Linked DNA regions of Sus scrofa. The protein of the gene in region 1 purifies or fractionates together with the protein of each later gene. This does not show direct contact. Links are inferred from orthologs where the notes say so. Each region holds a gene or a part of one and is shown in the gene's direction. Other genes may lie near its edges. The genes, in order: UBA6 and USP48.

Region 1 (3,599 bases):
TCTGTAAGATATTTAGTCCACACCAAAAAAGCTCTTGGAATTTGAGCCATACCAAGTGGTTTTAGACAAGACCAAGTATCATGGACGTTTTGGTGTGGACCAAAATGTATTATGGACATTTGGACAGGACTAAATGGCTGCTAACCCTCCAAACTTTATAGGAAGTATAGAGGAGAAATCATTTTTAAAAAGCATTGCTTACATTTTGGGTGTTTTTGTGTGTGATTTTTTTTCGATGTGTTTTGTTTTTGTTTTTGTTTGTCCTTCAATAAATGGTCTATTTTCTTTATCAGTACCAACAGAGGGAAAAATTGATTCACCCTTAAGTAAATGAGTGTCTTGATTTTACAACTTTCAGTAAAGAAAATAATTATATGCATAAATTTGAACAAGCCCAGATTGGGCAACATTGATCAGCGCATCACTCTGATTTTACAGAATTTACCAAATTATTTGTCCTTGTTTATTTTTCTTAGAATGCATAAACTTGTGAAACCTTCTACTGAAAAGAAATATGTGGATCTTACTGTGTCATTTGCTCCAGATACTGATGGTGATGAAGATTTACCTGGACCTCCAGTAAGATACTACTTTAGTCATGACACTGATTAACAGAAGTTGTCTTAAATTTAGGATTACTTAATGTTGGAAAGAATGCACTTCATTCAGGAGCTAAAAAAGTCAGTTTGTAATGGTATGGATTTCTCTTTGATGAAGCCTTAATTTAAGGGAAACATCAGTAGAAAACCACAGTGAAGAATTGTAAAGCATGTTGAAGCATACTATACACTTGTGTAGTGCATCATATGTGGATGTAATCACAAGCAACTTTGAACTGGAATGCCTTTTTTTAATGCTTACAAAAATATTTGTGTATTAACCTCTTTGAACGAAAAGAAGGAAAAATAGCTATCCAAGACCAGAAGAGATAAAAGATCAAGAAACTGAAAGTAACAAATGGAGCTATCCAAAAGGTTTCATCCTATTTTATGAATTTCTCTTTGTTTAGTATTTGAGGCCCGTGTTTCTATACAGATAGTGTTTGGCTCCCTGTACCCTTCATGGTGAGGCTTTGACTTTAACACCAGTGGGTAGAGGAGGGGTGGTAGAAGTGGATGAATAGTAGACATTTGAAATGTACAGTTACAGATTACTGTCCTGTTACCTCTGATGAGTTAACCAGAGTTTATATCACTGCCTCCTCAGAATCAGGATCTTTGTTGAACACATCAAATGACAGGTGTTAACCGGAACTAAATGTTAACATATTTTTTGGACTCTGATAGGCCTCTTAGAGAATCCGTGAATGTGAACACATAAACACGGCTAGTCATTTGATTCTTCAGTATGCCTTCTGATGTGGTTATTTTATTTATTTGGAACTCTAAACCTGATTGTCATAGCATATAAGACTAAAAGACTTTGTAAAGGGAGTTGTCCTTAGAAGTAGATGAAAAATAGAAATTAAAAAATTATCACTAGTTGAGTCTTGATTTTTTTCTTCCAGCAACCTAATGGACAGAAAAAAAAATTAATATTTTATTTTAAAAGGAAATGTATTAATTTAATTCTACATTCCCAGAAAGGGAATTGATGAAGATAAAATTTTATTTTTTTAGGTCTTTGTGATAGAAACTTTCTGTTTTCTGAAATGAGCTATTGCAGATGTTCATAGAAATGCTTTCATTAAGATGACATAAAGTGTGCTCAGCACTGTCAACTTAGTGAAAACACCAAGTATTTATTCTTTTTCTAAGGCTATCATGCATTCTAAAGCAATTTTATAACTGCAAAGTCATTTCCCTTTAGCTGCTTGTCTTCTATTCAGACCATGAATAGGTACTTCAATAAATTAAAAACTAGATTCACATTAGTATTACTCTAATTTGATATCTTTTTATATTCTCTACTTAACTTTTATTCCACTTATGAATAGTTTAAATTACTTAGCCAACTGTATTGTTTCATTCTTTTGTAAAACTATCATCTAATTGGGAAAATAATTTAGGAGTGAAGGGTGAATTTGTATGATTAATTGATAATCTGTGGAGTTCTCTTGTGATGCAGCAGGTTAGGAATCTTGTGTTGTCATTGCAGCAATCTGGGTCGCTGGTGTGGCACGGGTTTGATCCCTGGCCCAGGAACTTCTGCATGCTGAAAGTGCAGCCGAGAAAGAAAAATAATAATAAATAAATAAAGGGTAATCTGTGCATTTGGAAATGAGGATAAGTGAACAGGATGCATTTAAAGAAATTGGCTGCCTTCAAAATAATTAATTTTGATTCATCAATCATACCCACTTCTATCATGTATATTGCAAGTATAATGCTTAAAACTAATATTACTTAAAAATAAATCAAGGAATATCAAAACTCTGTGGCTTAGAGCTTTAGAGACTAGCAATAAGACTTTTCTATAAGAATCCTGTTTGCCACTTTTCTGTTTTGTACTCTGATAGTAACTCATATTTTCCAGGTAGGCATTCAGTAATTCTCTAGTTGTGATCTGAGAGCTTACTTATATTTGGTCCAAATCTCCACATCTCTTTAGAAATAAATTTAGAACAGAACCAAGTTATCAATTCTTATTCAGTGCTTTTAGCAGATATCAACAAAATCAACAAGGCTTAAATTCATTTTGTGATGAAGGCTGAAACCATATTCTCATAGCTTTTTTTTCCTGTAGGTAATATTTATTGCCATTAATTTCTTCTTTTTACTTCTACTAACCTGGAAAGCCAGTGTGAATTTAGTGATGGTTTTTTTCATTATCTATTTTGTTTATTTCTGTACCATGAGATCACTGCTGGTAATTGAAATATCAGGTGCAAAAATGAATGATTTGATTTTGTACAGTACCACTGAGTAATTTTTTACCTATTAAAAATAAATTAAGAAATTTGACAATGTCTTTGTAAATCCTGTTCCATACTGACTCCAGAGATTCCAATTTTACTATTCGTTTGGTGAGTAGTGTTGCTTTGGTGTTTCCTAGTTTTCAAGTTTTGCAGTCATGAAGATACAATACTCACTGAATGTGGAGGGACATTACTTCAGAGTGCTTTTGGCTCCTGGAAATTCTGTTAAAACAATTGAGGGAATATTGAGAAACCTAGAAAATCTGGTATATCCCAGATGTTGGTTGGGGATTTAAATTGCATTCCTTTTCAGAGCAGTATGTTACTCATCTATAAGTTCCTTTAAATTGTTCCAAAGGTAGAACTTGGAAATAGATTTTTTTTTTTTTTTCTATCATGGCACTCCCTGGTGGTGCCAATGACAAGGCATAAAAAAAATCAGCAGTGTTTGGAGTCTACTGTTTTATAATTAGTGTAATAAAGACAGAAAGAAAATTCTTCTCTTGAAATCTTGAGGGAAAGAAGTTTACCTAATAATCCTTTCGACTCCAATGATTATTATCAAAAACTCATTGTGATTGTAAATGTATAACCATTTAATATACAGTCACTAGGTATAGGTTTAACTATTTTACTTTTATTTTTTATTTATTTATTTATTTGTTTATTTATTGTCTTTTCTAGGGCCGCACTCGTGGTATGTGGAGGTTCCCAGGCTGGGGTCTAATCGGAGCTGTAGCTG
Region 2 (3,827 bases), on another chromosome or scaffold:
AGGGAAGAGCTGTTTTATTATCCGAGACCCAGCCTTTGGCATGTGGTCCAAGCAAAAGCATAAGCCTAATGTGCTCAAGCAATAGTTACTGTGTCTAGAGCATCAGTGCCCAATGGAACTTTCCGCAGTGATGGAAATGTTCCAGATCTACACTATTCGCGTGGGAGCCACTTGCCACATTTGACTGTGGAACACATAGAGTGTGGTTGGGGTGACTAAAGATCTGAAATTTTTCTCTTCATTTAAGTTTAAATAGCCACATGGGTCCTCTGGCTACTGTAGTGGACAGCACTGGTCTAGAGTTTCTTCCCAGGAGGTTTAGCGATGTGATGAGGGCTCAGGTTTTGTTGGATTTTATATACATCAAGGCGAGGATATGGAATCTCTAAGTGTAGATGCAAGCCACTGGAGAGTTTCAGGGGAGGTCATGGTGTGGTCTCATTTTTACTTTCAAGTCCACCCATACCATTGTGTGTGGATGTGGTGAGGACATTATGGGAAATAAGGAAGCCAGTTTAGAGCCTCTTACACTGATATAAAGGATAGGTGTGATGTAGACAGATTTGGGTATATTTAGGGGGCCAGGGATGTTACTATGGATTGGTTTTGTTTGTTTGTTTTTTAAACTATATTAGGGATGGCTCTTAGGTAGATCCTTAGCCAGATTTCTAGACATCTCATTTGGTTCCAAGGTTTTTTGGAAGTAAAAACAGAATACATTTTATTTAATGGTAGTTATCAAACATTATTTGAAGATAACTTAAAAATTATGCTCTGATGGTCTAGGGTTTTGCTTTTACAAGTTGAAATGATGGCTTAATTTCCTAATTTGGTGAGAAAATGAAGTTTCCCCTAGAATTTTCTGATATTTTGTACCTATCAGTGCATGTATATATTGGTATCTAGTATAAAATAGTATCCAATTTAGGTAAAGTTTCATTATTATTATTATTTATTGCTTTGACAGCAGTATTTATCCATAGTTCATTTTCTCAGTCTTAAGGAACATTGGGACTCCAGCCCATACTTGAAAAGGCTTGACAGATCAGTGTCACGGGAAAATGTAGAGCACCTTCGAACTTGTGCAAAATAACATCATTGTAAAATCTGATAACTGCTCTGCAGAGACTGTTTACATTTATGGGGAACACATTAAATACAAGAATAGATCAGAAAGTAAAAACCAGCGTATTAAAGAGCAGAGGTTACAGAAAGGCCTTGAATCTTGATCCTCTGTCTGGTCTATTATCCCACCATTGGTAAAGGTGGCCAGTCCAAGCCCCACAGCCACCATAGCTCACCTTCCTGGTGGCTGACCTACTTCTCTCTCTTTTCCTCTCACATTCAGGTGATGAAGGATTCAGCTCCGGAACTAAATGTGAGTAGTTCTGAAACAGAGGAGGACAAGGAAGAAGCTAAGCCAGACGGAGAAAAAGATCCAGATTTTAATCAAGTACGTGCTGAACCTACTCTTCATTGTTACACCTTCTGATGTTCTGAAAGTAGTCACTAAAAGTCCCTGGACATCCCCATAGCCTTGGAGGATATTGGTTTTCCTGTTTTTCTTCTCCCCTTAATTGGATAGCCTGCTATAGCTGTCCTGATTTTCTCATGAAACGCAATGGACTACATTATTCCAGCATAAATACATTTCTTGCGCTTAAGGCTAAATACTCTGTAATGATAAAATTTTTATCTGGAAGGAAGACTTAAGACCCATATCTTGGTCTGTTGATTAATCATGGACTCTTTATATATTAAACTCATTTTCCCTCATTACAAACAAAATAAGACAATAGCTTTGATAATGGAGTGTATAGGAGTTCCTGTCTTGCCACAGCAGACACGAATTGACTAGCATCCATGAGCATGAGATCCCTGGCCTTTGCTCAGTGGGTTAAGGATCCAGCATTGCTGTGAGCTGTGGTGTAGGTCTCAGACTCGAATCCTGCCTAGCTGTGGCTGTGGTGTAGGCTGGCAGCCATAGCTCCAATTGGACCCCTAGCCTGGGAACCTTCTGGGAAGAGTTAGGGCTGTGCTGGATCTGATCTCTGTACCTAAAAGCAAAAAAAAAAAAAAAAAAAGAGGAGTTTATAGAAGAGATTTTTGGGTCTCTTAATGTATTAGTCAAATCACTAGATCAGCATTAGTTTTTTTTTTTTTTTTTTTTTTTTTTTTTTGTCTTTTGTCTTTTGTTGTTGTTGTTGCTATTTCTTGGGCCGCTCCCGCGGCATATGGAGGTTCCCAGGCTAGGGGTCTAATCGGAGCTGTAGCCACCAGCCTACGCCAGAGCCACAGCAACGCAGGATCCGAGCCGCATCTGCAACCTACACCACAGCTCACGGCAACGCCGGATCGTTAACCCACTGAGCAAGGGCAGGGACTGAACCCACAACCTCATGGTTCCTAGTCGGATTCGTTAACCACTGCGCCACGACGGGAACTCCCAGCATTAGTTTTTCATTCTTCATGGTGATGATATTAAATTCCAAATATTTAATAACTAAAATGTCCTGTTTTCTGTGTATATTGTTATATTTCTACCTCTCTTATTTGGTTGTTTGTTTATATTCTACATTTTCATAGTGATTGGAGGAAATTGTCAAAAACAGGAAACACTGAGAATATGGCTGTTAATATTGTGTAAATAAGTTTCAGCTTCTCAAGATGTCTGTTATTCACCAGGGCAGTATAGATTTACCTTAAATTTATAGGATTTCTACTGCAGAGTTTAGTTTTATGAGTTCCCTTGTGGTGCATCATCAAGTTAAGGATCTGGTGTTGTCATTGGGTCAGCTTGGGTCTTTGCTGTGGCATAGGTTGGATCCCTGGCCTGAGCATTTCCTGGTACAACAGGTGCTGCTAAAAAGACCTGATTGCTTAGCTGTTTGTTTGCTTTCTCTTCTTTTGGCCACACCCAAAACATAGGGAAGTTTCTGGTCTGGGGACTAAATTTGAGCCACAGCTGCAACCACAGCCATTTGTATTCCATCACCTGTTGAATTTCATAAAATGTTAACTTTAAAATACCCATGAGAGGGAGTTCCCGTTGTCACTCAGTGGTTGACGAACCCAAGTAGGAACCATGAGGTTGCAGGTTCGGTCCCTGGCCTTGCTCAGTGGGTTAAGGATCTGGCGTTGCGGAGAGCTGGGGTGTAGATTGCAGACGCTGCTCCGATCCCACGTTGCTGTAGCTCTGGCGTAGGCTGGCGGCTACAGCTCCGATGCGCCCCCTAGCCTGGGATCCTCCATATGCCACAGGAGTGGACCTAGAAAAGGCAAAAAGACAAAATAAAATAAATAAATAAATAAGATACCTGTAAGGAGTACAACAGGATTGGCAGCATCTTAGGAGCCCTGGAATGCAGGTTCAATTCCAGCCTGGCACAGTGAGTTAAGGATTCAGCACCGGTGAAGTTGTGGCTTAGGTCACAACTATGGATCAGATCTGATCCCTGGCCTGCAAACTCCATATGCCACAGAGTGGCCAAAAAAGGAAAAAGGGGGGGGGAAAATCTGGGAAAGAACAAAGTCAGGCACTTTGTTCTGCTGGCATTGATTGTTCACTCACTGCTACCAAATTTTTGTTCTGGGCCCCTTTGCCTCAGTGCTAACCACTAAATCTATACATTTTATAGGATGTAGATTTTCAGTTTAATGGGGCTATGTTCCTATAATATCTATGTCCTTATTAAAATCTACGTTTATGTATGCCTTCTTTTCCTTAGGGTGGTTTTGGAGATGATTGAGTCAAGTAATATGTCTCTCTTTTTTGCAAATTAATTTTTATAATGATTTTTAGTTTTTTCATTATAATTGTTTCACAA

What was found.
Region 2: the proteins of UBA6 (region 1) and USP48 fractionate together in Homo sapiens (co-fractionation; 3 studies listed by BioGRID, with this or other methods). This does not show direct contact. The link is inferred for Sus scrofa from reciprocal best matches to the Homo sapiens genes UBA6 and USP48.

The regions. Positions count from the first base shown.
Region 1 is NC_010450.4:65,380,362-65,383,960, reverse strand, and holds the end of UBA6 (ubiquitin-like modifier-activating enzyme 6), read left to right. Parts: intron 1-476; coding exon 477-612; 3' UTR 613-2,903; downstream 2,904-3,599. UniProt on the Homo sapiens protein: Activates ubiquitin by first adenylating its C-terminal glycine residue with ATP, and thereafter linking this residue to the side chain of a cysteine residue in E1, yielding a ubiquitin-E1 thioester and free AMP.
Region 2 is NC_010448.4:79,758,007-79,761,833, reverse strand, and holds part of USP48 (ubiquitin carboxyl-terminal hydrolase 48), read left to right. Parts: intron 1-1,348; coding exon 1,349-1,453; intron 1,454-3,827.